Linked DNA regions of Mus musculus. The protein of the gene in region 1 interacts with the protein of each later gene in a pairwise test. Links are inferred from orthologs where the notes say so. Each region holds a gene or a part of one and is shown in the gene's direction. Other genes may lie near its edges. The genes, in order: Tk1, Aplp1, Gdf9, Cops6, Gapdh, Ccdc90b and Rbm48.

The links.
Region 2: the proteins of Tk1 (region 1) and Aplp1 interact in a two-hybrid assay, tested with the Homo sapiens proteins (2 studies listed by BioGRID and IntAct). The link is inferred for Mus musculus from reciprocal best matches to the Homo sapiens genes TK1 and APLP1.
Region 3: the proteins of Tk1 (region 1) and Gdf9 interact in a two-hybrid assay, tested with the Homo sapiens proteins (2 studies listed by BioGRID and IntAct). The link is inferred for Mus musculus from reciprocal best matches to the Homo sapiens genes TK1 and GDF9.
Region 4: the proteins of Tk1 (region 1) and Cops6 interact in a two-hybrid assay, tested with the Homo sapiens proteins (2 studies listed by BioGRID and IntAct). The link is inferred for Mus musculus from reciprocal best matches to the Homo sapiens genes TK1 and COPS6.
Region 5: the proteins of Tk1 (region 1) and Gapdh interact in a two-hybrid assay, tested with the Homo sapiens proteins (2 studies listed by BioGRID and IntAct). The link is inferred for Mus musculus from reciprocal best matches to the Homo sapiens genes TK1 and GAPDH.
Region 6: the proteins of Tk1 (region 1) and Ccdc90b interact in a two-hybrid assay, tested with the Homo sapiens proteins (2 studies listed by BioGRID and IntAct). The link is inferred for Mus musculus from reciprocal best matches to the Homo sapiens genes TK1 and CCDC90B.
Region 7: the proteins of Tk1 (region 1) and Rbm48 interact in a two-hybrid assay, tested with the Homo sapiens proteins (2 studies listed by BioGRID and IntAct). The link is inferred for Mus musculus from reciprocal best matches to the Homo sapiens genes TK1 and RBM48.

What each region holds. Positions count from the first base shown.
Region 1 is NC_000077.6:117,823,215-117,827,405, reverse strand, and holds the start of Tk1 (thymidine kinase, cytosolic), read left to right. Parts: upstream 1-1,391; 5' UTR 1,392-1,399; coding exon of another isoform or gene 1,400-1,456; 5' UTR 1,457-1,557; coding exon of another isoform or gene 1,558-1,626; coding exon 1,627-1,692; exon of another isoform or gene 1,693-1,773; coding exon 1,774-1,805; exon of another isoform or gene 1,806-1,903; intron 1,904-2,104; exon of another isoform or gene 2,105-2,194; intron 2,195-2,624; coding exon 2,625-2,735; intron 2,736-4,191. UniProt on the Homo sapiens protein: Cell-cycle-regulated enzyme of importance in nucleotide metabolism. Catalyzes the first enzymatic step in the salvage pathway converting thymidine into thymidine monophosphate.
Region 2 is NC_000073.6:30,442,783-30,446,786, reverse strand, and holds the start of Aplp1 (amyloid-like protein 1 precursor), read left to right. Parts: upstream 1-1,204; 5' UTR 1,205-1,318; coding exon 1,319-1,465; intron 1,466-2,325; coding exon 2,326-2,469; intron 2,470-3,562; coding exon 3,563-3,695; intron 3,696-3,876; coding exon 3,877-3,989; intron 3,990-4,004. UniProt on the Homo sapiens protein: May play a role in postsynaptic function. The C-terminal gamma-secretase processed fragment, ALID1, activates transcription activation through APBB1 (Fe65) binding. Couples to JIP signal transduction through C-terminal binding.
Region 3 is NC_000077.6:53,432,037-53,436,085, forward strand, and holds the start of Gdf9 (growth/differentiation factor 9 precursor), read left to right. Parts: upstream 1-1,249; 5' UTR 1,250-1,369; coding exon 1,370-1,766; intron 1,767-4,049. UniProt on the Homo sapiens protein: Required for ovarian folliculogenesis. Promotes primordial follicle development. Stimulates granulosa cell proliferation. Promotes cell transition from G0/G1 to S and G2/M phases, through an increase of CCND1 and CCNE1 expression, and RB1 phosphorylation.
Region 4 is NC_000071.6:138,159,726-138,163,901, forward strand, and holds the start of Cops6 (COP9 signalosome complex subunit 6), read left to right. Parts: upstream 1-1,376; 5' UTR 1,377-1,387; coding exon 1,388-1,457; intron 1,458-1,649; coding exon 1,650-1,772; intron 1,773-1,948; coding exon 1,949-2,080; intron 2,081-2,411; coding exon 2,412-2,500; intron 2,501-2,596; coding exon 2,597-2,659; intron 2,660-3,009; coding exon 3,010-3,057; intron 3,058-3,404; coding exon 3,405-3,519; intron 3,520-3,601; coding exon 3,602-3,694; intron 3,695-3,783; coding exon 3,784-3,884; intron 3,885-4,010; coding exon 4,011-4,151; 3' UTR 4,152-4,176. UniProt on the Homo sapiens protein: Component of the COP9 signalosome complex (CSN), a complex involved in various cellular and developmental processes.
Region 5 is NC_000072.6:125,162,974-125,167,181, reverse strand, and holds the start of Gapdh (glyceraldehyde-3-phosphate dehydrogenase), read left to right. Parts: upstream 1-1,408; 5' UTR 1,409-1,630; exon of another isoform or gene 1,631-1,870; coding exon of another isoform or gene 1,871-1,888; coding exon 1,889-1,911; intron 1,912-3,745; coding exon 3,746-4,043; intron 4,044-4,141; coding exon 4,142-4,208. UniProt on the Homo sapiens protein: Has both glyceraldehyde-3-phosphate dehydrogenase and nitrosylase activities, thereby playing a role in glycolysis and nuclear functions, respectively.
Region 6 is NC_000073.6:92,559,824-92,563,948, forward strand, and holds the start of Ccdc90b (coiled-coil domain-containing protein 90B, mitochondrial), read left to right. Parts: upstream 1-1,325; 5' UTR 1,326-1,712; coding exon 1,713-1,812; intron 1,813-4,125.
Region 7 is NC_000071.6:3,593,748-3,598,047, reverse strand, and holds the start of Rbm48 (RNA-binding protein 48), read left to right. Parts: upstream 1-1,500; 5' UTR 1,501-1,530; coding exon of another isoform or gene 1,531-1,659; 5' UTR 1,660-1,845; coding exon 1,846-2,082; intron 2,083-2,602; coding exon 2,603-2,793; intron 2,794-4,300. Other genes in the region: Pex1 (peroxisome biogenesis factor 1), read right to left, coding at 1,531-1,659. UniProt on the Homo sapiens protein: As a component of the minor spliceosome, involved in the splicing of U12-type introns in pre-mRNAs.

The sequences.
Region 1 (4,191 bases):
GTGGCAGAGCATTTGCCTGTTGTGCTGGGTTCAATCTCTACCACCACGAGGGGAAAATGTAAGATGCCCACACTTAACACAGAAAGCCAGGAGGACACAGGTTCCTAAGCCAACACAGGAATCCTGAAGACAGTGAGTGCGTCTTCACACTGAGGCCTGGGGCTGGGCACCTTTGGCTCTCTCCAGCTGTCTCTAGCCTTGCTCTTCTCGTTGATATAATGGGGGTGCTAGACGCCCACAGGGTTGGAAGGGAGGTGTGTAAGAGAAACAATGTAAGCCCCTTGCTCAAACACAGCTGCCTCTGCCTCTTCCTGTTGAATGTTCGTCTTACATGCTATAGACCCTTCTCGTTCCGGTTGGTACCTGCTGGATGCTAGGGGCCTGGCTAGGCATCATCTTTTTTTTTTTTGTCGTCTTTTTGTTTTCTCATCTCTTGTAACTGTGTAGCTGCCTCGAGGATCAAGTGCTGAGATTACTGACATGTGCCAAAAGTCTTTTTATTTCCTCTTTAAATGTGTGTGCCTGCAGTCCCTTCTGGAGCTGGACGCTGTGAGCTGTCTTGATGTGGGTGTTGGAAATCCTCAACTCTGCGCCTCCGGAGGAGCTGTGGATGCTCAACAGCCGAGCCATTTCTCTAGCCCTCTGCCTTCATTTTTACTATTAGGATTTATGATTGATTGTATTTTAAAGTTTATTTTTTGTGTAGTCCTGGCTGACCTGGAACTCACTCTGTAGACCCGGCTGGCCTTGAACTTAAGTCACCTGCCTGCCTCTGCCTGGAATTGAATGCTTGAGCCACCCCCGAGGACACATGTTCCTAACTTTCAACAGATTCTAAGTGATGTCTGTCTGTGACCAAAACAAAGAAGCCTGTTTAATACAAGCTAACCAGTCAAGAAATCCTAGTGGAATGGTAATTAACTACAGCAAGCGCCAAAATGTGTTGTCCTGCTTTGTGTATGCCTTTGGTAACCCTTGCCGCAACCAATGGCAGACAGAGTAACCAAACAAATTCCTGAGTGAGAAGGTTTCTGGGCATGCTCGGTGTGAGCCATAGGAGTTTTAGCATGGGAATTCTGAAGCCGCTCAATACAGTCTGTCCCTGAAGGTGCCTGCCTTACTTTGCGACTCACAGCAAGGACCCCCAGCCTTGGCACCTTCCAGACTGTAGTTACAGAAACACAGAATCACACTGCACAACCTCAGAGTAAGGTCCAAACCCTAAGCCCCTTAGTTCCTGCTGGAACTTGAGTTTTCGCTGTCTTTAAAACCAGGCTAACAAGCTAAACCTGCTCTATGACGAGAAAAATGAAGAAATCTGGCGCTCAACGCTTGGAAATTTGGCTTGTGGGCATCCTAAAATTCCAGTCCCGGCTCTGGGCGGCTGCACCACACCTACCTCCGAAGACAAGTTCCTCCAGGGATTCTGGCCCGCAGAAAGGGAAGGAAACGCCATGGCCAGATCCGGAGGGGATGGTCGAGCTCCAGGCTTTTCACGTAGCTGAGAGGTGGGACGAGTCTTGTCTTCGTCCCGCCCCCTTTTGAGTTCGCGGGCAAATGCGAGCAGTAAGTCGAAATTTTTCCACCCACGGACTCTCGGTGCTAACTAAGGTTTGCACAGCAGCCATGAGCTACATCAATCTGCCCACCGTGCTGCCCAGCTCCCCCAGCAAGACTCGGGGGCAGATTCAGGTGCGGGGTCTGGAGTGGGGTCGGGTGGTGGCTGGTGCGGGGTGTACAAGGGGGAGACCCCTTAAATGACTTCTCTTCTAGGTGATTCTCGGGCCCATGTTCTCAGGGAAAAGGTAATGAATGGGCCTTCGGGGCGGTGGGCCTCCCTCTCTCTCTGCAGCCTCTCTCTCTGCAGGCCCTGGCTCTCCTCTCCCCCCTCCCCCATCTTCCCAGGAGCCTCTGACTAGGCGGCAAACGCGCTCGACCTCTGTGTGTACATTCCCGCCCAAAATTCGATTTCCTGGATTGCTGCCATCCTCCTGCCCAAGCCTTTTCTCTTGGGGAACCCTATCTTTGCTGAGGCGGACCACATGGGGGTACAATTGAAGACCCCAGCCCACATTACCCAGGAGCCCACCGAACTCTCATGTGTCCCCTGGGAGTTAGGCACCTTCTCTGACAGTTTCCTCATTCATTCCCCATGCGAGCTCTCCTAAAGCCTTGGAGCCCAATTAACTCTGAGGTGAGGGTCTAAACTCTGGGAGTCCCACCCAGAATAACAAACACACACTACTTGGGTTTTCTTTGCTTTATCTTGGGGTTAGTTTTTGTTTTTTTTTTTTTAACTCAGCGTCTTTATTTGTGGCCCAACTCAGAGATCCGCTTGCCTCTGCTGGGGTGCATCACCATACCAGGCACCTCATTATTTCTGAATGGTCTGGTGTCACCTCAATTTGTCCCTTGCCCCGAGGGTGAGGGCCAAACTCATGATCTGGGATCCAGAAGCAAGCTCTCTGGTGATTCTGTCAAAGACTTTGAAGTTCATTCATGAAAATTGAATTTTGTTCAGAACAGCATGGGGTGAACGGCTGCAGTTCCGGCTGCCCGACGCTAGGTGGTAGTGGCAGCCCGCCTTTTGCTCGGGCCTCATGTGCTCTGGTTAATTCTTGCAGCACAGAGCTGATGAGAAGAGTCCGGCGCTTCCAGATCGCCCAGTACAAGTGCCTGGTCATCAAGTATGCCAAAGACACGCGCTATAGCAACAGCTTCTCCACACATGATCGGTCAGTCCTACCCCTGAGCCTGCCCTTCGGAAACCCCTAAGCCTCGGGGCACACTGCTGCTAGCCTCTAGTGGATATGAATAAGTGCTCAAAACTTACTTAGAATAACCTGTCCCCAAGTGTCCATTGTACCCACGGAGGCTGGGAGAACCTGGGTCCCACTTGGGTAGAGGCTGCAGCCCTCTTGACTCCAGAGATATTTCCCCCCCTCTTTAGTTGGCTCTCTGCCATTAGGTAGCCGTCATCATTCTGAATTGTCTATCTATCAGCCCTTCCACTGGACATTTCCCTCTGAGCCCAAGGGTAGGTAGGAGTTCAAGAAAGTAATTTGTGCCTCTCGGGGTTGCTGGAGCTGGGCCAAGGGTGAGCAGCCTGGGGTAGAGCAGGTTTCTGAAGCGGAGCAGGAAGTGGAGCCGAGAACTACCAGGACTTGGGAGTTGGCCTGGGGATTCAAGCCAGGCTTCCTGCCAGACTCTGTACTGAGGTCTTTACAACTGTCTTTGTAACCACGGTGCCAGCGCTCAGGACGGGATGTGCATCCAGGAGGACCGAAATCAGAGGAGGCAACAGTGCCTAGAGTGGTGGCCACAGCTGGCTTGTTGCCTGTCCTCTCTCTGGTCCCCTCTACCAGGGGAGGGAAGAGAGAATTTAAGATGCCCGAGTGTTGTGTTGTGTTCTTTAGTTGGTTTCTTTTATTTTTTTCTGAGACAGGGTTTCTCTGTGTCGCCCTGGCTGTCCTGGAACTCACTTTGTAGACCATGCTGGCCTTGAACTCAGAAATCCTCCTGCCTCTGCCTCCCAAGTGCTAGGATTAAAGGCGTGCACCACCATGCCCAGCTTTGGTTGGTTTCTTAGGGAGGTGTGTGTTTGCACACAGGTAACCATACACCCGCGTTCAGAGGACAGCCTCGGGTTATAAGATCTGTGTTCCACACTCATTGGCCATATCTTTTTTTTGTTTTGTTTTGTTTTGAGACAGGAACTCTCTACAGACCTCTGGTTGCCCTGGAATTCACTCTGTAGACCAGGTTGACCTTGAACTCACAGAGATCCAACTGTGCCTGCCAAACGCTGGGATCAATGACATGTCCCACCACACCTGGCTCAGTATGCTCTCAAAGCAAGCCCTTTACACATTCAGACATCTCCATCCTGTTTTTGATTTGTTTAGGGTTTTTGCATGTAGATCTGCACGCTACTTGCTTGTCTGGTACCCTGGGAGGTCAGAAAAGAGCATCCGATTCCCTGGAACAGGAATTATAGATAATTGTCAGCTGCCATGTGGTTCCTGGGGGTAGAACCTAGGTCCTCTGCAAGAATGACAAATGATCTCTCAACCCATTTACTGAGGCAGGTCTCAGGTAGCATAGGTGGGTTATAACTTGTAACCCTCCCTCCTCTTCCTCCTGGAATTACAGGCTAGCAATCCCACACCCAGCCCACAACTCCTTCAGATC
Region 2 (4,004 bases), on another chromosome or scaffold:
GCATGTGTTACTGTATACTATATACATTCCTGGTCCCTGAGACCAGAACAGAGGGATGGGTCCCCTAAGACTGGAGTTATAGACAGTGTGGGTGTTGGGAATTGAACCCGGGTCTTCTGAGAGAGCGGCCAGTGCTTTTCATCACTGAGCCTTCTCTCAGCAGTTAGCCTGGAACTCTTGATCTTGCTGCCTCAGGCCCTCTGGGATTACAGGTGCACATCACCATTCCACTTTAAACTCTTTTAATAATACACCACTACCTCACCCCACCCACATCCACAGAGATGCACACACACACAAAGCAGAAAGACAGACAAATGTGGGCAGGTCCACACCATACAGATGCACACACACACACACACACACACACACACACACATCTGGGCTGCTTCGGGGGGGGGGATTAGAATATTGTACACTCACTTAAGATAAAACAGTGAACCCTTTAGGCAGAAGACTTGAGGTGGCCCTTAGAAAGGGTGAGAATGGGGGACTCCACACAGTGGTCCTCAGGTGCTGGTCTTGGAAGGCTATGGTATCCAGCACCTGACCCGAGTCATCTGTAAAGAAAGGGTTTAGTCATGGATTTTTGGAGGGAGTATTTGAAGATCCAGACACCTGGCAATCAGGGCAGGAAGGCTTCCTAGGTTTGAGGAAGCAAGGGTGGGAGACTTGGCCTCCGGTCCTGAGACAGAAGAGGCCTGGAAGGGAGCAGATTTACCTAGCTGTAGCTGTGTTTTGTCTTTTGAGACTGGGTTGCATGTAGGTAGGCTAGCTTCAAACTCCTATCCTCCCGCCCCCTCCTCTCAGGTGCCGGGATTACAGGCTTTCCTAGTACACTCCCTAAATTCTTGACTGGGAAAATTCGGAGGTCTATATTCCTGGGACCTCAAGAGAGGGATTTATGGAAGACCCCCACCCCCATGGATTCTGGCATCCTTGGAGGAGGACAAAGCTGATGCTGGGTGTCTGCGTTTGCCAGAAGAGAAGGCCAAGGATGAAAGTCCAGAAAACGGCTACGCCCAGGACTGAACCTAGTGACTCGGTCTTCACGCGGACAGTGACACCTGGAATCTTGAGGGGCTGGGACTTGGAGCAGGCTCCCTCCCGGGGTTCCGGAGCCTCTCAGTGCGCAGAGCCGCCACGCTATTGTCCTGGCTGGGAAGGCGGGGCCGGCGCGGGGCGGGGCTGGCGGCGCCGGCGCAGCCCGGGGGCGGCGGGAGGAGGAGGCGGCGGTGGCGCTGGGAGCTCCTGTCACCGCTGGGGCCGGGTAGGGCCGGGCGGGAGCGCAGGGGACGTGAGGGCCCGAGGCCCGGACATGGGGCCCACCAGCCCCGCCGCTCGCGGTCAGGGTCGCCGCTGGCGACCGCCGCCGCTGCCGCTGTTGCTGCCACTGTCATTGCTGCTTCTGCGCGCGCAGCTCGCCGTCGGGAACCTGGCTGTTGGGAGCCCCAGCGCGGCCGAGGTGAGGCCCGGCCGGGTCCTGGGGATGGGGAAGGGGCGGGACCGGGCCTCGACCTGGACGCGGGACGGCCACCGCAGTCCTTTTGGCCAGGTGGCCTGCCCCACGCGATCCGAACTGTAGATTTTCCTAGGTTCCTCCATCGTCTGACGTCCCTGCCCCCTCCCACCCGCATCGTCGGACCTGGCTCTTTCCAAGAGCCTCTGGTCCAAGAAATCCAGAGCACCCCTAGACGACAAAGCCCCAAGACCTGCCCACCTAAGCGTAGGACGCACCAGGCAGTAGGCGCTTGGCTCTAAGAACCCAGGTCCCTTGTATTATCTGGACCCACATGAACCCCCTGCCCTCAAACATCCAGTAGTCCGGGCCTCCACCCACTACTCAATCCGGATATAGCTCCTCTAGTCCTTAAAGGTCTGATGTGCAGGCCTGCTGGGAAGCTGGGCCCTGTCGTCTTTGCACCCCCTCAGTGGGAACCTGAACTGGGGATGGAGGGAGGAGGGGCCAGAACGCCTGGGTTCGCCCCCCGCCTCCCCCAACACGATTCAAGTTTAACCCCTTCAGGCTTCAGACCCAAGCCGCTGGGGCGGGGGCGGAGCCTGTCTTCTCAGCAACAAGGCCGCGAGAAACGGGGCGGGGGGGTGGGGACCCAGGTCACCATAGCAACGGGAGAGCTGGGGCGCTCCAGCCCCACGGGATTTGTTTCCCGGGGAACGGTCTCTCCACTCAGAAGGTGCTTAGAAGGAGCTGGTGCTAGAGATAGGGGCAGGAGCCCTATCTGGGTTTTAGGGAGCAAAGAACCAGACAACACAGATGACATCGTTGCCCTGGCTCCTCACTGCCCCATCTGCCTTCATTCCCAGGCTCCGGGGTCGGCTCAAGTGGCTGGACTATGTGGGCGTCTAACCCTTCACCGGGACCTGCGCACCGGCCGCTGGGAACCAGACCCACAGCGATCACGACGCTGTCTTCTGGACCCGCAGCGCGTGCTGGAGTACTGCAGACAGGTGGGCGGGACCCCACGGGGAGAGGCGTGGTCAATGAGAAAGTGGATCCAAGCTGGGGCGGGGTCGCCCTTGAGGAAGCTGGACTTGGCAGAGTCTAGGGAGATGAGAGAATCTGTAAAGCCAGGGAAAGCTTGGGGGTCTGTGGTCAGTGAAGAGGCCCCTCCTAAAGGGCCAGCGCAAACCTATTTTGAGAAATTAGGGGCCGCGGGGCGGCGGTGGAGACTGAAAAAAAAAAAACCCAACAACACCCCCCCACACCCCCCATGGACTAATCAAGGTCGCCTGAAGAGTGGCATGGTTTAGGAATCTATGGATCCGTTTAGAAAAAGTGGGAGTGTAAGTGGGCGTGGCCGAAAGAGAGGCAAGGCTTAGATCAAGAGACCTTTTAAACCAACAAGATTCAGTAAGTGATGGAGCCCAATGAGAGTGGCTGCCTGCCTAAGAGACGTGCAATGAAAAGGCGGGGCTAATACAAAGAAGAGTTACTTAGTAGCTAAACAGAGAAAGGCAGGAAGTGAAAGAGCAAGAAACCTGATTGCCGAGCAGGGTTGCCTTCAAACGTGGGCTCAGAGAAGTTGAGTTTGGCATGTCAAAGCCTGAGGACCTTTATCAAGGCCTCGTGAGAATGGTGAACTTAAGGGAGACCACTAGGGTATGACCAGTGGACCCGAAGCTTAGCATCTGAGGCTTACAAATTAACCTGTTAGTTCTATAGACAAGAGACGAAGGCCCAGGGATGTCCTTAGGAACCAAGACACGTAAAAAGGAACTGCTCAAGCTGAGATTAGTGACATGGGCCCATAATCCCAGTTATTGGAAAGGCTGAGGTAGAAGGATCACAAATTAAAGGCCCTCGTAAGCTACAGAATGAGTTCAAGACCAGTTTAGGAAATGTAAGGAGACCTGGTCTCAAAATAAAAAGTAAAAAGAGGGCTGGACATGTAGGAGTTTGGTGGTAGAGCATGGCTTTGGCATGTACAAGGCTCTGGGTTCAATCCCCAGTACTGCTGCCAAATGAGAGATGCAGAGGGTGGGGGTCAGCCAGTAGGTTGATCCCCCCCCCACCTCCTCCCACACACATTGTGTCCTACAGATGTACCCCGAGCTGCACATAGCACGCGTGGAGCAGGCTGCACAGGCCATCCCGATGGAGCGCTGGTGTGGGGGTACCCGGAGTGGCAGATGCGCCCACCCCCACCATGAGGTTGTGCCCTTCCATTGCCTGCGTGAGTCACCCGCTGGGGGGTGGGGTGGGAACTGAGGTGAAGTGGGAGTCTACCAGAGATGACTTTGGTCTACATTTGAAGTCTGGGTGATGGGCTGAGAAAGCTATGAATGCCTGGCCTCTGAGGTGGGCAGGCCTGGGTGATGATTCTGGTGATGATTCTGGTGTCTCCCATTCCCCAGCTGGCGAATTCGTGAGTGAAGCCCTGCTAGTGCCCGAAGGCTGTCGGTTCTTGCACCAGGAGCGTATGGACCAGTGTGAGAGTTCAACCAGGAGGCATCAGGAGGCTCAGGAGGTCAGGGCCTTGTCC
Region 3 (4,049 bases), about 64 Mb from region 1:
CTCACCTCCAAGGCCGGGACACAAATACTTTAATCAAGGACTAAAACACTGTCCTGATTTCTGCCATCTGGGTGGTTGGTTAAAGAATAAATACGATGTCTATTTAATTGCATTTGCTGATGTCTCAAGATTTTTCAACCAAAGTATAGTCAAGTGAATTGTAGACCAAAACAAGGGCATCAGGATATTGTACTGTCACTACATTTTAAAATATGTATTTGGTATGTAAGTGCTAGGGGTGTAGGTCAGAAGACGAGCTGTAGAAGTCTCTTCTCCCTTTTTCTCTGTGGATCACAGGGGTTGAAGTTAGGCCTTTAGGACTGGATGACTTTTGGTCGTTAGGCTTGGCGGCAAGTTGCTATCTTGCCATTCCAGCTAGATATTGTGGCTTTTTTTTAATTGTTTATTTTCATTTTATAATGGGTGTTTTGTATTCCTAAGGATGCCCGAGAAAGGCATTGGCTCCCCTGGAAGTGGAGCTATAAATGGTTGTTCTAAGAAGAGCAACCAGTGCCCTTAACTGCCAGGTCATCCATCATCTTTCTGGCCCCAAGACATTGTATGTTTTAATTGCTCAAAGTTAAAGGTGATGTCCTCTTTTTATTTTGAGATGGGGTCTCTCAAAATTATGTAGCTCTGACTGTCCTAGAACTCTCTATATAGACCAGGCTGGCTTGAATCCACAGAGATCCACCTGCCTGTGTCTCCTGAATGCTGGGATTAAAGGCGTGAACCTCTACACCTGGGCCCTGATGTCCTTTTTCAAAGCACATTGCAAGTAGCTGTTGTCTTGGGCCAACTTTACAACCCCTCTACTAAGCCACCTGGACAGGCTGAACAGCCTAACATCACTGGAATTTCAGAACCCATTGTGACTTTGTTTCTCTGATTCACTGTGCAGTAAGCCATCAGTTATTCTAACCACCTGGACGTGGGAGCTGTGGAGATAGACGATGAATCAAGAGGAAAAAATAAACCTAATACTTCTGCAGTCACATCTCCAGCCCTAAGAGGTTTTGTTTTATAATTCCTTGGGTTTCTGTTGGGCTCTCACCTATATAAGTAGTCCACTAGGGTGACGATACTTGGTGGGTTTGAAATAAATGTCCAGGAGAAACAGGGAAAGAAAGCCAAATAAGTAGATAAATCTGTATCTAATGAGAACAAATTGGATAAAACCGTGTTGTCAGCTGACTGCTGTAGAGCTGATAAGAAACAATGTACAGCTAGGCATGCTTGAGGTCTGATTACAGAAGTGAAGTCAGTCTTCCACACCTAGATTTTATTTAAGGACCACGCCAGGGCCTCCCCGACCTTTAGAAAGAAGACTGGCACGAGGAGATGCGTTCCTTCTTAGTTCTCCCAAGTCATGGCACTTCCCAGCAACTTCCTGTTGGGGGTTTGCTGCTTTGCCTGGCTGTGTTTTCTTAGTAGCCTTAGCTCTCAGGCTTCTACTGAAGAATCCCAGAGTGGAGCCAGTGAAAATGTGGAGTCTGAGGCAGACCCCTGGTCCTTGCTGCTGCCTGTAGATGGGACTGACAGGTCTGGCCTCTTGCCCCCCCTCTTTAAGGTTCTATCTGATAGGCGAGGTGAGACCCCTAAGCTGCAGCCTGACTCCAGAGCACTCTACTACATGAAAAAGCTCTATAAGACGTATGCTACCAAAGAGGGGGTTCCCAAACCCAGCAGAAGTCACCTCTACAATACCGTCCGGCTCTTCAGTCCCTGTGCCCAGCAAGAGCAGGCACCCAGCAACCAGGTGACAGGTGGGTAAGAGGAGGTTGCTCAACTGGGCTGGGAGAAAAGACAGAGGCTTTACCGATTCTGTTACCAGAAGGAGCCACACTTTGATTTGGGTCCCTTGGTTTGTTTTGAGGCAGGATCTACCCCTGTTACCCAGTCTGTACTCAGAACTCTGCATCCTTCTGCCTCGGCTCCTTAAGTACTGGAATCACACAGGTTTTCACCATCCTGTGAATTCTATTTTGCATGATTCTCAGTGTCCAACTGAAACAAACTTTTTCTTTTAAAGTTAGCACTTTTTAAAAAGTTTAAAGTTTTTTTTTTTTGTTTTTTTGTTTTGGTGTGGTGGTACTAAGGATTAAATTGAGGGCAAGGGGTTCACATATGCTAGCTACGCCCTCTGCTACTACATCCCTGGCCAATAGCATTGATAACACTGTTTTATTTGTTTCCTACAGCATCTTTAGTTAAGAAACTAATAGATTTTATCTTGTTCGAGTTTCCTTTTTTAAATTTTTTTTTATTTTTTGAGACTGTCTCAAACTTGCAGTGACTCTCCTGCTCAGTCACTCTAGTGCTGGGATTCCAGGCACACAGCACCACGCCATCTCAATATGTTAAGGCTAGAAGAGACTAATGTCCTGAAAGGCCAAAGAAAGTTCTGGAGGCAGTTAGCATCTCTTTTATTCTACCAAGTTGTTGGCCTAGCATGGTGCCTAAAGCCTGCTTTTGATTTAGTATTGGGTGTGATCCGGAACATTTCCCCTCGTTTGCTTTCCTGGAAGAAGAAAGTTTGTCTCCACCTGCACAGTACATCTTTCTTTCTTTCTTTTTATTTATTTATTTATTTATTATATGTAAGTACACTGTAGCTGTCTTCAGACACACCAGAAGAGGGTGTCAGATCTCGTTACGGATGGTTGTGAGTCACCATGTGGTTGCTGGGATTTGAACTCTGGACCTTCGGAAGAGCAGTCGGGTGCTCTAACCCACTGAGCCATCTCACCAGCCCTCTTTTTTTTTTTTTTTTTTTTTAAAGGCAAAAACCCAAAACTATATGGCTGAGATGTGGTACCATTTATGTTTTATATACCAGGTGCCTGGAGTTTGACCTCCAGTACCAACAAGACAAAACAAAACTCACGTGGGGTTGCAGTGACACATGACTTTAATTCTAACCCTCAGGAGGCAGGAGCAGGCTTTGCTCTTTGAGTTCAGGGCCAGCTGGGTTTAGAGTTCCAGGATAGCAAGGGCTACACAGTAAGACCCCGTCTCTGTCTCCATAACAAATGAGCAAACAAAATCCCAGACCTCCAAGCGTTTGCCAACAATGGGGGACCTTTTTAGTAAGAAAGAAGAGTTGTGTTTAAAAAAATCAAAACAAGAAAACAAAACACTCAGGGCTTTGGAGATAACTCGGTGAATGAAGGCTTCTTCCACCAAGTCTGACAAGAGCCAGCTCCTACAAGCTGTCTTTCCACCTCTATTTGTGCTCCATTGAGAGAGTGTGTCCATTAACAGCCTCCCCCCAACTCCCCAACAGAGACACACATATATGCTGGCCACCAGTTCATACAAGCCATTGTAACTGTCTAGGGCAGTTGTGGCTGTTCAAAGCCACTCTACCCCGCCCCCAGCCCACTTTACTGCAGCGGCCTTATAGCCTCCATGTGTCCCCAATCTCAGAGCGTGTGATTACCACTGCAGACAAATGTTCTCAGTTGGCTTGTTGCTTTTTTTGTTTTGTTTTGTTTTTTTGTTTCTTTCAAGACAGGATTTCTCTGTGTAGTCCTGGCTGTCCTGGAACTCACTCCGTAGACCAGGCTGGCCTCAAACTCAGAAATCCACCTGCCTCTGCCTCCCACATGCTGGGACTAAAGGCGTGTGCCACCACGCCCGCCCGGCCGGCAGGAGTGTTGCTTTCTGTGGTCTCCTGGCTTTGTCTGTAAGGATGCCGCCACAGGAAGAGCCTCTCCTCAGCTGTCTGTGTTTGGAGCAAGCTGCTGGGTCTGAAACCGGATGGTCTAATAATTGTCTCTGGCTTCACTTCCCCAGCAAACCTGTTCTCCCTTTTTTTTTTTTTTTTTTAAATATATGAAATGTATTTGCATGTGTGAATTGGGGATGAGGGCCATGTGTGGAGAGGTCAGAGAAAAGTTTTCAGAAATTGGTTCTTGTCTTCCACCGTGGGGACCCTAGGGTTCAAACTCAAGTCCTCAAGCTTAGATGCAATTGTCCTTACTCACTGAGCTCTACCCACAGCCCATTCTCTCAATCCATAGCCAAAGGGGCCGTTGAACTCCTGG
Region 4 (4,176 bases), on another chromosome or scaffold:
AAAAAATAAATAAATAAAAATAAAAAGTAGCCCGGGCGGTGGTGGCGCACACCTTTAATCCCAGCACTTGGCAGATTTCTGAGTTCAAGGCCAGCCTGGTCTACAAAGTGAGTTCCAGGACAGCCAGGGCTATACAGAGAAACCCTGTCTCGAAAAACCAAAATAAAAATTTAAAAAAATGGCTGTTATTGGCCCCAAATGAATGATTGTGGACCAAATACTCTTTCTTGGCTATTTAAGCAGGTCGCTTAGCCTTAGTTATTGTCCAAGTAGGAAACGTTTTCTTTTATTTTTATTTTTATTTTTATTTTTTTTATTTTGGAACTCACTCTGTAGACCAGGCTGGCCTCGAACTCAGAAATCCGCCTGCCTCTGCCTCCCAAGTGCTGGGATTAAAGGCGTGTGCCACCATGCTGGGCAAGTAATTGTCTTTTTTTTTTTTTTTTTTTTTTGGTTTTCTTTTTTGTTACAAGTAATTGTCTTAATCACTGTTCTATTGCTGTAAAGAGACACCATGACCAAGGCAACTCTTCCCCTCCCCCCACCTTTTTTTTTTTGTTTGTGCGACAGGGTTTGTTTGTGTAGCTTTGGCTGTGATGGAACTCACTTTGTAGTCCAGGCTGGCCTTGAACTCATGAGGTCTGCCCGCCTCGATTAAAGGCTGTGATTAAAGGCGTGGGCCACAAGCCCTCCCAATAGCAGTTGCTAAGTTGTGTAAAGAGGTTGTCTTGAAACTGAAGAAGCTGAACAATTCAAGAGTAATTACTACTGGGGAGATGGCTCAGGGGATGAAGTGTTAGGACCTGAGTTTAGATCCTCAGTACATCGTTTTAAAAGCTAGGCATGCTGGGTATGGTACACACCTTTAATCTCAGCATTCAGGAAGGAGAGGAAGGCGGATCTCCTAGAAGTCTGCCTAGACGAATAGCAAGTTCCCACCAGCTGGCCAACATTGTAAGACCCTATCTCAACAAACAAGTGATCAAGTCTCTATAGATTATATGCAACATGAAAAATTTTATATCCTGAATAAATTGTCTTCCCCATTCCCTTTTACAGCCTTTCCTCCTTTTGATCGCAATTTTCTCTGTGTTTAGTATTGACAGTGTATCCACTTGAGACCTGGAAACTAATAGCCCTCCTTGGGAGGTAAAGGCAAGAGGATCAAAGTTCAAAGCCATCTTCAGATACACACTACAGAACTCATGGCCAGGCTGGTTTACATGAGAACCGCTAGCAGCAGCACAACACGCAGAGCACCCTGAGCTACTAAGTACTGGCAGCTGCCCCGCCCATTAGCAGCACCAAGTATACACTGAGCATGCACCGCTCCCCGACGGAAGCCGAGAAGGAAAGGGGCGGGCCGTGGCTGGCGGGCGCGGGGAAAATGGCGGCGGCAGCTGCGGCGGGGGCGAATGGGAGCGGAGGCAGCAGCGGCATGGAAGTGGATGCAGCAGGTAACGGGGTGCGCAGACCGACTTCTGGAGTTGCCCTTGAGAAGTGGTCTTGAGTACTTCTTAAACCTGTCCCAGGATAACTTGAGGGCAGCGATGGACGGCCGGGCTCTGCTGGTCCCCTGCTTCCATGTCTAGGGGAAAATGTGTGGGCCCGAGCTCTCAGCCGCTATGTTTTCCTTTCACCTTTAACAGTCCCCAGCGTGATGGCCTCCGGAGTGACTGGGAGTGTTTCCGTCGCTCTTCATCCCCTTGTCATCCTTAACATCTCAGACCATTGGATCCGCATGCGCTCCCAGGAGGGGCGGCCTATGCAGGGTGAGTGTTGTGTGTAAATCTCAAAATCTCTTGGAGATTTCCTCCAGTCACTCCCCTGCGCCCTTTCTTCCAAATTATTGTTTCCCCAGTCGTTGATTCACGCCGACTCGGGAAAGGTTTTCCGAGACGCCTGTTCCTCACCTAGTTTCCTTGCGCTTCTGTTTCTCTCCCCTTAGTGATTGGGGCTCTGATCGGGAAGCAGGAGGGGCGAAATATCGAAGTGATGAACTCCTTTGAGCTGCTGTCCCACACCGTGGAAGAGAAGATTATCATTGACAAAGAATATTATTACACCAAGGAGGAGCAGTGTGAGAGGGGAATAGAAGTGGGTGGGGAAGGAAAAGTGGGAAGATTTTTGTTTTGTTTTGTTTGTCTTAAAGAATAAAAGGCCTGAGGATGTAGGGCAGTGGGGTAAAGTGCATTTCCTAACATTCGGGAAGACCAGAGTTCAATCCTCAGTACCATATAACCCAGGAGATAGAGGCAAGAGGTCAGAAGTTCAAGGTTAGTTAGGTGTAGTTATTTTAAACTGACCCAAAATATGAGGAGGGAGGGGAGAACCGGAAAGAACACACCAGGCCCATCAAACTAAGGAAGAGAGGTTTAAAGGAATATTTACTCTGGCCCCTTCTTCTCCAGTTAAACAGGTTTTCAAGGAGCTGGAGTTTCTGGGTTGGTATACCACAGGGGGGCCACCTGACCCCTCAGACATCCACGTCCATAAGCAGGTATAGAAGCTCAAATATGTGCATGTTGGGGAAATGAACAGAAGGTTAGGGGAAGAGGAGATACTGACTCTTCCTGGGCTTTGCCTTATCTTCTAGGTGTGTGAGATAATTGAGAGTCCGCTCTTTCTGAAGTTGAACCCTATGACCAAGCACACAGATGTGAGTGTTGTTGACCCAATGTCCCCTTTTTCTTGATCATCTGCCACTATGCCTTTGCTCTAATTTACCGACATTATGTGTATTAGAGAAAGCTTGAGTTGAATCTCTACCCTGCTGTTTACACCCATCAGTTGTGTGACTTCATCTCTTCAGTGGTGTTTCCATATGTAATGTGTGTAAAACCTAGAGAAAGCATGAGCCAAGTGTGGTGACAACACTTGTAACCAATCTTAGCACTCAGGAGATTGAGGCAGGATTGTGAGTTCAAAGCCAGCCTGGCATGTGTGTAAGTTCAAGTGCATTTGCTTTTAGTAAGAGCTGTTCTCTTGTCTCCGTCTGTGTTTTTACAGCTTCCTGTCAGCGTTTTTGAGTCTGTCATCGATATAATCAATGGAGAGGTAATATATAACCTGCAACCTTCAAACCTTTTAGCCTGTTTCCTGCATGCCGTGTGCAGGCATAGGACAACCCTGGGTGTCCATCCTAGCTTTCTACCTTGGGACAGACTCACTTGTTTGCCAGGCAGGTTGGCCTGTGAGCTTCTGGGAATTGTGTCTCCACTTCCCATCTTGCTGTAGGGGTTCCAGGATTACAGTCACATGCTGTCACATCTCACTTAATGTGGGTTCCGAGGCTCTAAATTGAGATCCTCAGTTGTGCAGCAAGTACTCTACCTGCTGAGCCATCTGCCTAGGCCTAGGTCTGTTTCCTGACTCTCCCTATCTGAGAACTCTTTACTCTGCAGGCCACAATGCTGTTTGCTGAGCTCACTTACACTCTGGCCACTGAGGAAGCTGAACGGATCGGTGTAGACCACGTGGCCCGGATGACAGCAACAGGCAGTGGGGAGAACTCCACTGGTAAGGGAGGGGAATTCAGTCTTTGGAGGTAGGGGTTGGGTGTGGCCACAGGCCGCCCTTCATTTGCCCCATTCCCCTGCAGTGGCTGAACACCTGATAGCTCAGCATAGTGCCATCAAGATGCTGCACAGCCGTGTGAAGCTCATTTTAGAATATGTCAAGGCCTCTGAAGCAGGTAGGAGAGGTGCCTGTCACTTTGAAACATTTTTCCTCTCCTGGAAAAGTGACAGCATCCACATCAGTGCAGCCTCCTTGTGTCCTTAGGAGAGGTTCCCTTCAACCATGAGATCCTGCGGGAGGCCTATGCCCTATGTCACTGTCTTCCAGTTCTCAGCACTGACAAGTTCAAGACAGACTTTTATGATGTGAGTGTTGACACCTTTGATGGGGAGGTGGGGCTCACACCACCTCACAGGTAGGAGGTGAAACTCAAGTGTCACTGGCTAATACGAGGGACCCCTGGGGAACTGGTTCTTTGTGTTCCCTCCCAGCAATGCAATGACGTGGGGCTCATGGCCTACCTCGGCACCATCACCAAAACGTGCAACACAATGAACCAGTTTGTGAACAAGTTCAACGTCCTCTACGACCGACAAGGCATTGGCCGGCGAATGCGGGGACTGTTTTTCTGATGATGGTTCTGGAAGGGATGGTGTG
Region 5 (4,208 bases), on another chromosome or scaffold:
CACCCTTCCCACCCTGTTCATCTGGCCTGCTCCCCGCTCATGGGAAGCCTGGGCACGGGCCACACAGCTGTCAGTCTAACACAGCCTTGGCTCTGGGGCCCCAAGGAGGTAGGGCAATCTGGAAGGGCAAGGAGCCAAGACTAGATTTGGGGTGCAGCCCAGCGTGCTCCCTGCCTTTTAAGCAAAGGTTATCACCAGGCCAGCTAAACTTAGCAATAGGCTCTTGAGCTAGATGAGCAGGGGGCTGGTTTCATGTTGCACTGGCCTAGCAAAGAGGCGCCAGAGTCCCCCTGCCCTGCACCTGCTACAGTGCTCCCAAGCCCTTCCACCCTTCCCAGCCTCCCTACCCTTCGGAGTGAAGAATCCCGGTCTCGAAAAGACAAAATAAAACCAAAGAATGCCTTTTCTCCCTTCCACTTGTGGCAAGAGGCTAGGGGCTTCCCTGTCCTGGCTCAGGGGTATAATATTTCCTCTCCTGTGTTCTCCCCTCACTGATCTCACCCTGTGTCCACGAGGGCAGCCAAAAAAGGAGAGTCCCTGGCTCCAGGGCCAGTCAGCACGTCCCTGGATGGGGAGGGACTTCCGCCCTCACGTCCCAACTCTCCACCCTGGGGCTACAGTGGGTGAAAGGGGCAGTGTCTCCTAGCCTGGGCGGGGCAGCTCTCAGGTTCCGAGGAGGGATACTATAGGAGGCCTCTGAGCCTCCTCCAATTCAACCCTTAAGAGGGATGCTGCCCTTACCCCGGGGTCCCAGCTTAGGTTCATCAGGTAAACTCAGGAGAGTGTTTGTAAGTCTCAATTATCAGGTTTCCAGGCTGCAGGGCATCCTGACCTATGGCGTAGCAATCTCCTTTTCAAGCGTCTTCCTGGCCACCCCCTTGCCCTCACAGCGCGGTACACAAGCCAGGCCTCTGGCCAAAGACAGAAGCCAGGAGGGGGGGGGGGGCAGATAGGGAAATGGGGCTCCTGAGGGCTCCCGCGGGAGGAAAAGTGCCCCCACCCTGGCATTTTCTTCCACTCTTTTTTTTTTCGGGGGGGGGGGTTGCTGTGTCACTACCGAAGAACAACGAGGAGAAGATCCTCAACTTTTCCGCAGCCTTTTCAATAATGGGGAGAGGTTCGATGATGCAGTGGCAGGGAGACCCACACTTCTCCATTTCCCCTGTTCTCCCATTTTACTCGGGAAGCAGCATTCAGGTCTCTGGGTCCTGGATGTCCTTGGTGCACACTCCAAGGACTCCTCGTCCTTAAGTTCATAGTCTGTATTCCCTGAGTCCTATCCTGGGAACCATCACCCGGTCACCTCCTGAGCGGGGCAATCTCAGCTCCCCTCCCCCTATCAGTTCGGAGCCCACACGCTTGGTGCGTGCACATTTCAAAAATGAGGCGGGTCCAAAGAGAGGGAGGAGGGGAAATGAGAGAGGCCCAGCTACTCGCGGCTTTACGGGTGCACGTAGCTCAGGCCTCTGCGCCCTTGAGCTAGGACTGGATAAGCAGGGCGGGAGGCGGGGCGCGCGTCATCAGCTCCCCCCCACCATCCGGGTTCCTATAAATACGGACTGCAGCCCTCCCTGGTGCTCTCTGCTCCTCCCTGTTCCAGAGACGGCCGCATCTTCTTGTGCAGTGCCAGGTGAAAATCGCGGAGTGGGCCGCAGGAGGCCGGGGACAGTCGGAAACTGGGAAGGGGAGTGGGCACTGTACGGGTCTAGGGATGCTGGTGCGAAGTGTGCAAGCCGGACCCAGGCTCCGCATTGCAGGGGGGGGATGATGGAGGACGTGATGGGGCGCACGGCGGGAATGGAGGCGGGGTGGGGGAGGGGACTGCCTGGTGTCCTTCGGGCCACGCTAATCTCATTTTCTTCTCCTGCAGCCTCGTCCCGTAGACAAAATGGTGAAGGTCGGTGTGAACGGGTGAGTTCCAGGGCGGGGCCCTGCTCCGTTGCCTACGCAGGTCTTGCTGACCCGGGGGCTCTGCAGTACTGTGGGGAGGTGGATGAGGTGGCCGAAGCGCCCAAGGAGACCTCAAGGTCAGCGCTCGGACCTGGCGATGGCTCGCACTTGCGGCCCCCAGCTGCTGCACCTCTGGTAACTCCGCCTTTGCGGGGATGAGCGGCCCGGAGTCTTAAGTATTAGGAACAACCCCACGCGCCCGTTCAGACCCATCCCGTAATCCCCAGTCCGGGGCTTCTTTCTTTACTTTCGCGCCCTGAGGAGTCACGTGCCAGGAGGGAAGCCCCTCCCCCATCTCCCCCTTCCTCGGGGTCGGTGGCATGGCGTTGTGAGGTGCATACCTTTGCGCATCATCTCCCAGGCTTGGGCTTCCTTTAGGGTAACTGGCCGCCGCCATGTTGCAAACGGGAAGGAAATGAATGAACCGCCGTTATGAAATCTTGCTTAGGCCTTCCTTCTTCCTAGCTTGTGACTAACCTCATTCCTCTCGGCTGGGTGGAGTGTCCTTTATCCTGTAGGCCAGGTGATGCAAGGCTTCCGTGCTCTCGAGAGAGTTCTACCTCACAATCTGTCTCACCTTATTAGCCTTAAAAGCCCTTGAGCCTTATTGTCCTCGGGCATAATGCGTATTCTAGATTATTCTCTGAAAATCAAAGCGGACTTACAGAGGTCCGCTTGACCTCCCAACCCCAGAGGTAGTTATGGCGTAGTGCAGAGCCGTGGGATGGGGAGCTGAGTCATGGTGGTTCTGAAAAGAAATTTTCCACCACAAAATGGCTCCTGTAGTAGCAGCCCCTTCCATCCCCTGCACTTCCCATCACAGCCTCGCACTGACCCAGGCCCTATAGGCCAGGATGTAAAGGTCATTAAGAGGATTGGGTGTCCCTGCGCCTCAGAATCCTGCCCTTCTCCCCGTTCCATCCTCCAGAAACCAGATCTCTCCACTCCGCCCTGATCTGAGGTTAAATTTAGCCGTGTGACCTTTCTGGATCTGGGGTCTGAGCGGGCTCTCCACCCTGCTCCCCCTACACACATCTGTTGCTCCGGCTCTCATTTTTGCCCGAGAAGAACAGGTGTTTCGCGAACGAGCCCTGGGATTAGGGTTGGAAACCCCCCACATGTTTTCTCAGTCTTTCCCCTTAGTTCGAGGGACTTGGAGGACACAGGTGGGCCCGCCCTGTGCTGCTCACGCTGACCTTTAGCCTTGCCCTTTGAGCTTGCTGATGAATGAGTTCACAGGTCTGCCCTGTCCAGGGGGTGTAGCCTGAAGTCCAGCCATGCTGGAACAAACTTCCCAGGGCATGAGTGATGGGGGTGATGTGCCAAGCTTGTACCCAGACTGGGGCAAACTGCCACTTCTTAAGAGACTTAGAATGACTTGGAGGAGGTTTGCTGGGCAAGCAATCACCTCTTGGACAGGAAAGAAACCTCCACTTTATAACCGTGCTATAAAAGCCCTGCCAGGCCTCGGCTGCTCAAAGAATATAAAATTAGATCTCTTTGGACTTTCTAGGGTGGGAACAGTCTATATTTGGGTTGTACATCCAAGCATTCAACTAGCTTTATTAAAGGGAATTCTGAACAAAACATGAACTTCCTGATGCATACATTTCTAATGTACTGTGTCTGCATAAAGGCTTGTACCTTTGTTGTGGTACGTGCATAGCTGATGGCTGCAGGTTCTCCACACCTATGGTGCAACAGTATTCCACTCTGAAGAACATGAGATAGCCTGGGGCTCACTACAGACCCATGAGGAGTTCTGATCTCAGCTCCCCTGTTTCTTGTCTTTCAGATTTGGCCGTATTGGGCGCCTGGTCACCAGGGCTGCCATTTGCAGTGGCAAAGTGGAGATTGTTGCCATCAACGACCCCTTCATTGACCTCAACTACATGGTCTACATGTTCCAGTATGACTCCACTCACGGCAAATTCAACGGCACAGTCAAGGCCGAGAATGGGAAGCTTGTCATCAACGGGAAGCCCATCACCATCTTCCAGGAGCGAGACCCCACTAACATCAAATGGGGTGAGGCCGGTGCTGAGTATGTCGTGGAGTCTACTGGTGTCTTCACCACCATGGAGAAGGCCGGGGTAAGTGGCCGGAAAGCTGAAGGTGACGGGCACCCTTGATATGGTGCAACCTGAAAACCAAGAACTGAGTCTGAAATCAACTTCTTTCCCTTAAACAGGCCCACTTGAAGGGTGGAGCCAAAAGGGTCATCATCTCCGCCCCTTCTGCCGATGCCCCCATGTTTG
Region 6 (4,125 bases), on another chromosome or scaffold:
AACATCCCACTCTCAGCTGGACTAGAAGATTAATTGTTTAAAAACTTACATGATACTAAGATATTACTGTTTCCTTATTCTCTACCTTCTCCTGTTTTTCTATTACAAGTTCTTGTGAAAAAATATAAAAGCAAAATTCTGGGCCTTTAGGCCCAGGCTTGGGAATGTGACTCAATGCTCCAAGGTATGCTAGTCATAAAACAGACATTCCTCTACCCACCGCTTCCTGGGTTCAAAGAGTGTTCATTCAAAGAAAGTTACCCTGACCCCCCCCCCCTGACCATTGCTGGAACCCGCTATGCAAATGTGCCATTGTTAGGGGCTCTTAGAAACTGTCTTGAGAGATAACCCGAACAATTACCAGGTATTCCTTGTGACTCTTGTGACTTTGCACTTCCTTTTGACTCTTAACTGGTATCTTTGGTATTTTCCAACAATGCCTTCCCCACTTCCTTGAGTTGTGGTTTCTTCCTTTAAATACCCCCTTACCCAGCTACTTGGGGCGCCAGGGACCTCTACCCCTGCGTGGTGTATTACTGTGGTCCCGAGAGCACTCTTGAATTAAAAGTCCTCTTGCAGTTTGCAGCAAGACCGTTTCTCATGCGTGATTTGGGGTGTCGCCTCTCCTGAGTCAGAACGTGGGGGAGTCCTCATGTTGTGGGTCTTTCACTTGGAGAGCAGAAATCCTTATAATCCCCACATAGCCTGGGAAAAAAATCCTGTACAGTAAGAACTTAAATTGTTGTTGGAATTCTTTCTTTGTTCTTCGAATTATTAATCTTTAAACCTAGCTGGCATTCAGATATTTCTGAAAATGAAATTGGAAAATATTTTAAAGTCTAGAGTGCTTCGCTTGAATACCAGGGACCCACCTGGCAGCCCAGGAGAACTGTCTCTCCTGTCTCTGTCCCTAGTACCCACGACAGAATCATTTTAATTTCCTTCTATGTGTAATCTACTAAAGTGCTTGCTGGTGGGAACCAAGTTTTGTTTTTAATGAGCTTCAGTGCTTGAAATGGTGGCTGGTGGGTAGCTGATTCCCACAAAGTTGCAATCTGGGTAAGCGACAGACTAGTTAGTACATTGCTTTCAAGGTTTTACCAGGTGGGGCAATGACTTTGGTAACTGAAGTTGGAGAATGTTAAATCATGAACAATGCCGACCCAGGAAATGGAGAATTTTCGTTTCCCTGAAGAAAAGGCCTAAAACAGTTGGTCCTCCAGTGCACCAGAGGGCCAAGCAGAGAGACGCGAAACTGCAAGTGTGTGATACGCTTTGGACTTCCACGGGCACTGGTCGATGCTACAACGCGGTCTCATCCCCACAATCCTCAGCAGCAAGGACTGCGGGTCCCATGATGCTATGCTGCTACGCTGGATTCGGTCTGGGAAGCTTGCTGCGGGACTAACTCGCCGCCCGCAAATGGGCGCCAGAAGGTTCTCCAAGACCCCGCTTTCTTAGGGCGGTAAAGGCGGGAAGAGATGGGAAAAGGGCGATGTGCTAGGGGGATAAGCTCTGAGTCGTGTTAAGTGTGGCTCTGTGAAGAGGCCTAGCTTTGTAGAAGAAAAACCTCTCAAGTAGGTGCTTTGGTGACAGACCGGAAACTACATTTCCCAGCATCCTGATGGTGAGAGGACTTCATTGTCCGAAAGCCTCAGCGAAAATCAACGCGTATTCCGCTTCCCCTTGCTGACCTGCGGGGCTCCGAGACTATGAGGAGCCGCTGGATTTGGCGGTTCCTGCGCCCTGACGGCGGCGGAATCCGCTGGACTTCAACTCCTCATGGGCGTCTGTCACCCGCCCTGCGGAGAGGTGAGACGAAGACTCGCTCAGGGAGAAGGTTCGGGCGGGTGTGCCCGCTCAGGCGTCCGCGAGAGTGACACACCCCCTGCAGGGCCCCGCCCACCCGCGCAGAGCCACCCGCGAGCTCCGGGGATGGTGGGTCTTGGGCGTTCCAGACAGGGTCTGGCTGGAGGGCTTCCTTCCTCCTAGACCCAGCCCCTGCGGACCTGCGCCTCCTCTCGGCTTGAGTTGGTGGGGGCGCGGGGCGGGGTTCCGTCTCCATTTATGAACTCTTAGGTAGTTTGCGGGTGTTCTGATTTACAAATCACATAGTAGGGTTTTGTTTTGTTTTTTAAGTGTCCTGGAACCTATGCGTTTCCAAACACTTTGTTAGTCTGTATATCCTGGAGAATATCTTACTTTACTCTGAGAACTATTTCCAAGGCTTTTTTTTATACTTGTGCTTTTCAGTTTTTCCGCCGTAAAAGGCATCCCAACCTCCACATTTCGTTCTTCCTGGATCTGTGTATGATGATAAACTGAGTTATTCAGTACCCAAAAACACTTCTCCGCCCTCCACACTTGTGTGGTTTTGTTGTTTGCCACTGTTTTGTTTTCACCCTGTTATTTAATTGTATTTGTTCCGCTGACTTTCAATCAAGGCTGCCCTTGCAAGGCTACTGTTTAGCTGCTAGAATTAGTCACATCTTTGAATCCATATTTAGGTAGTTATTATAAATACACATTCTGGTGGACTTTTCAGAAAAGGGTGGCGAGGTGGGTCCACTGGTAGAAACTTGTGCTGCACACAAGCATAACAACACAAAGTTGAACCCCCAGCCACTTCCAGGTTCAATAAAAGCTGCCCTATCAAAGACTTAGGAAGGGCATGACAGAGCAGGATACAAAGACCTCCTCTGTTCTCTCCTTAGGTATGTGTGCCCTCACACACAAAGGGGTAGCATTGTTTTGAATCTGATGAAATAATTCAAATCTCAACTTATCTGTGTACTTTTACCAAAAATATAACACCCCAGAAAAATGTTAATATTTTGGTACAATTTTCAAGTTATTCCACTTGAAGTCTGGTTACTCTTGAGGAAATCTTGTCTCCCCTTAAAATTAGTGCATGGTTTGTGTCCCTGTTCAGTGTAACAAGTATTTACTGCTTACTATAGACAAATGTCAATAGTCTAGCAAATTTGAAAGTTGGTCCTTATCCCATGGAAATACCACAGTATAGTTATTTTCAAGTAGATGGTGAGATGCAGAGGAAGCCGTGATTTGTCTACGTTTTTGTCGATGGTGCTGCAGTCTTCATTTGTTACTATCCACACTTAGCAGTACATCAGAAACACTACAGATGATTGATTCTTCTAAGTACAGATTGCCAAGCCTTATGACCAGAAGTACTGAATCAGTCCTCAGGTGGAGAGGAAGCATTTTTGTTAGTTCATTTAATTTGCCAAGATTCTCTGAAGCAACATATACATTATGCCACTAGACTATAATGTAAGAATATGTTCTTTGGAGTTGTTAGTTTGAAATGAGTTTCACTGTGTAATCTTAGCTGTCCTTGAGCTGAAGAGCGGGCTGGCCTTGAACTCACAGAGATCCACCTGTCTCCACCTCCCGAGTGTTGGGATTAAAGGCATGTACCACCACCTACTCCCTGAGAATATATGCTTTAATTCTTTGAATTTTTATAGAAAAATAACAAGCTGGTACCAGGCGAGATAAGTCTGCAGGCAGAGGTATTATTGCCAAGCCTGATGAGCTGGGTTTGGTCCTGGGACTCATGTGATGGAAGAAGAGAGCCAAGTCCTGAAAGCTGACCTCTGACCTCCACACATACTTCTACATGCACACACCCACATACATACATCCACATACAAATATACAAATAAGAAAACTTACCAGTTATGTCTTTGAAGTGGTTCAGTTCTAAAAACGGCCAATAAATTAATAATTAGATTTAGTGAACTCTATTTTATATGCCTTTTTAAAAAGTAAATTTTGGCCTTTTCCAAAAGAGTCATTTTCTACAAGATAGTCCAGAGATCTATAGTAGAAATTTTGTAAATTGTTAAGTCTTTTAATTTTGAATTTGCTATCTCACTGTAAACATACAAGATTAGTTTGAAAAAATTAAAATGATGTATGTAGGGTTTTGTATAGATGTCAAATGTACTCTTGTTTTGTTTTTCAAAAAAGGGTTTCTCTGTATAACCCTGGCTGTCCTGGAACTTGGCTCTGTCACCTAAGCTGGCCTCAAACACTCAGAGATCTGACTGCCTCTCTGCTGGGATGAAAGGCATGTACCACCACTGCCTGGTATCAAAT
Region 7 (4,300 bases), on another chromosome or scaffold:
GTAATTGCTAAAAGCAATGACCTCTCAACAAAAGTCATATTAATACTACACAAAACCAGGACAGGAAGCTGGGCGTGGTGGCGCACGCCTTTAATCCCAGCACTCGGGAGGCAGAGGCAGGCGGATTTCTGAGTTCGAGGCCAGCCTGGTCTACAAAGTGAGTTCCAGGACAGACAGGGCTACACAGAAAAACCCTGTCTCGAAAAAAACAAACAAAACAAAACAAAACAAAACAAAAAACCAGGACAGGAAACCTCATGTGTATCTAGCTCCACCTTTCTATAAACAATAAAGATTAGATATAAGCATGCAAGACTTAATCCAAATGCTTAGTATTTTACTTCTTCACTTCTCAAATAATAATAAAAATAATAATAAAGACCAAGACTATGTAATTCCTAAACAGTGATGAATCCAAGGAAGCAACAACATGTCAGGTTCAAATTCTTAGCGACCATAAGGAAGCATTTTTCTAAACTCATGGGGTGGTAAGCTTAATTTGAGATTTGAAAATACACTGAAAAATCCCCATCAGAAATGACAGGGAATAATGATCCAAGCTGGGATTTGGTAACAGTGAATGATTCCTTTCAGTCACCAGAAAGCAAACCAGAGAGTTAGAGAATATTTGGTGGAGATAAACTAACAGTAAGAATGGTTCTGATGAAATTGGTGTGTTCTGATAGGTGGACTGTAAAAGCAAGATAAATGTAGCAAAGAGGAAATAAAGGTAGAATACTTGAAGTCATTTCAAACTCTTGTATATTTTTTTTATGACCCAGTGTTCAGGTACCATGCATCTAGGATTTTAGATTTCAAATACTCTAACCCCATGAATACACTCAAACTAAGAGAGTCTATTTCTGCTCACTCTTAGGAAAATATGGATGCTGTATTTCCACCGATGGTTAATAGCCTTGAAACACCATAATGACAGAATCCAGACAGCTCGCTGAGGTCCAAGTAATCCTAGCTACCGAGGTGAAAGTGTGGGGTGTGAATAATTCCATCACCTTGTCACCCCGCCCCACCTCCCTCGCCGCACATATTCTTGCTATGTTCGAAGTCCTCCGGAGCAGGGAGAGCTATCTATCCTTTTATTAACCTTTCGCACAGGTTGGAAACCTTGGTAATCTACAAACCAAGTCTGCCACTCAACACCTCTATCGCTGCACCGGCAACTCGTTGGCAGGATAATGCTTTAGCAACCTGTAAGCAAACCTGTAAGAGCTCTCTAGAACTTTCCATCCTTGAGTGAGGGCCGCTTCTGACTGCTGGGGCAGAACCCTTGCATGCTCAGCTTGCTTTAACCGAGTTAAAGGGGTGCACTAGGAATTCCACGGTAGGGTCTGAGGATACACTAGCCGTGGTGTGGATGCACACGCTGCCACTCCACGCCATGCCCGCAGGGGGCCCTCGCTCACGCCTCAGCTCGGGGTCGGTGGCAGACGATGTCCCTGCAGGAAAAGGTGTCAGCTGACCCTAGTCCCACGAGACGTCAGTGGTGTCCGCGTCCCGCCAGCGCGTTACCTGCAGCAGGTGAAGCTGGGCCACGAGGCGCCGCGGCAGATGCAGGAAGCAGTCCCGAGCATTCGTGAAGGCCACCGTCACGACCGCCCCACCAGACCCCGCACCCGCTAAGCGATCGCTGCTCCACATTGTCCCAAGGTTCAACTCTCACCGGAGAGCGGAGTCCACCGGCTTCTCGTCAGGTGAGAGCGTCGGAACCCGAGAACATCGATCAGGCCCGCCCCCCTCTTCCCACGCCCGGCCGCTGTCACCCTCGGGCCACCTCCGAAGCTCTAGGGGGCGGCACGTCGCTCGTCGAATTCTCGCTCTCAGGAGATGATCGTCGATGGGGTCGATCCTTCAGCCAATCCTAGCACGCCTGGTCCATCCTGCTCTCTTATTGGACTCAGAGGAGCGCGGCTGGCGGATGTTGTTCTGGCGCGGGGGACTAGAGCCGGCAAGATGGCATCCAGTGACGGGAAACCTGGTGGCGTATTCGATCACCACGTCCAGACGGCTGTGTGTGACTCGCGGGCCAAATACCGGGAGGGCCGACGCCCTCGCGCGGTCAAGGTAGAGTGACTCGGATTCTTCTCTCCCCTCGGCAGGGACACTAAATTCCTGTGAGCACTAGCTCCCCAAGGCCTGCCTCCATAAAGGCATGGCAGGGATGTTGTGAGATCCATCTCTAAGTGGAGGGGGCACGAAGAACCCGGGCCCCGGTACCAAAGGTTATCACTACCCTCGGTTAGCTGCTTACCAAACCTCCAACCCACTATTTTTAGCTTTGTATCCTATGTGTTTACAATAGCGCTTCTCACAGGGCAAGCCCAGGGTGAGTGAGTGTTCAGTGGCTGTTTACATTAACCTCTCTGGAGTCAGCTTTTGGAAAAGACGTCTGTTAAGTGGTTTAGTCAGATACCCTTATGTGGAGTGTGGTAGTCTTTAGGCAGAAGAGTGACAGTTTAGTGTGTATGTTTTGCAGACCGGATTGTTTCTTGTTTTCAAAGCTCCATTTAAAAGGGGGTGGGAGGACCGATTTGCCATAGGCTTGTTTGAAGAGTACATTTAACGAGGTCTCCTTTGACTTTAGGTATATACAATCAATTTGGAGTCTCAGTACTTACTAATACAAGGAGTTCCTGCAGTGGGAGCCATGAAGGAATTAGTTGAGCGTTTTGCTCTGTATGGTGCGATTGAACAGTATAACGCTCTAGATGAATACCCAGCGGAAGATTTTACAGAAGTTTATCTCATTAAATTTGTGAAATTACAGAGTGCAAGGTATGTACAAGTTAAGCAGAACTCCTGTTAAAATCTTATTCCTGTTGCTGTCATTTTGGCCCCAACTGTTTCCCAAATGTACCCAAAGCACAGAAGCACTTCTTGCTCTCAGTCTTCCTGATTGGGGGGAGGAGGGGAGGGGACAGGGTTTATTTGGATAGCCTTAGCTGTGCTAGAATTAGTTCTGTAGACCAGGCTGGCCTTGAACTCAAAGATCCCTTTGCCTTTGCCTCTGACTCTCGAGTGCTGGGTTTAAAGGTATGCACCACTCCACCTCGCCTTCCAGTTTGTTTTTCACCAGGCCTCACATCTGCGACTTAATCACTCTAACAGTGAGTGACATCCCAGCTCTTCCTTCAAGCTTTTAAAAGGCTGACTTTACAACAATACTCTTCCCATCCTCTCATACCTGTGCTTGGCAAATTTTGAACCTGTAGTGTGGTAGATTAAGAATTACGTTTGAAGTAAATTATCAGTCCTGTGGATTCATGACTGTGGAGAATTTTAGTCCTCCAAGCAAATTTTTGTTCTTTTCCTAAAATCCATATGGCAAAAAGGACTACTTCTTGAGGTTCACTGAGCAAGGATGAAATGGGACAATTTATGTAAAGGGAGTAGACTGGTACCTCCTATTAAGAGGAAATAGTAGAGCCGGGCAGAGGTGGCACATGCCTGTAATCCTAGCACCAGGGAGGCAGAAGCAGGTGGACCTCTTGAGGTGGAGCCAGCCTTGTCTACAGAGTGAGTTCCAGGAGAGCCAGGGCTACACAGAGAAAACCCTGTTTCCAAAAAACAAGCAAACAAACAAAAAGTAACTATTAGTAATGACAGTTCTTATTTGTATAGTTCTATGTTAATCAACTTTGTATTCCAATAAGGAATGCTTTATTTTATGTTAACCCCTTTTGGCGGGGGGGGGGGGGGGTGCATGTGTGTGCATATTCCTGTGTGTGTATGTGTGTGTGTGTGTATGTGAGTGAACACTAGCCTGAAACTGGCTGTGTAGACCAGCTGACCTAGAACTCAAAACTTCCTCCAGACTCTGCCTACCCATCTCCACCAGGTTCAAAGGCTTGTGTGCACTACAGTGTACTCTATCCTATTTTTTGAGGTTGGGCCCCTCCCTCACTGAGCTCATTGGCTAGATTGGTGACTGTCAAACTCAGTGATCCTTCTATCTCTACCCTGTGAGCACTGGAATTACAGGCACAGTGCGGTGCCTGGCTTTCACGTGCATGCCAGGGGTCTGAGCCAAGGCACTCCAGCAAGGGCTTTTCCACCGGAGCAGCCTTCCTAGCTCATGTTAGCCATTTTTTCATTTTAATCACTAACCTTATCTAAACCATATCTTTTTCTGGCTTTTGCTATTCATAAACTTTTTTTTTTTTTTTGGTATGGAAAAAGACTTCAAATCCCCTGGAGCTGAAGTTACAGGTGGTTGTGAACCACCCAAGATGGATGCTGGGATTTGACTCTGCTCTTCTCAAAGATCAGCAAGTGCTCTTTT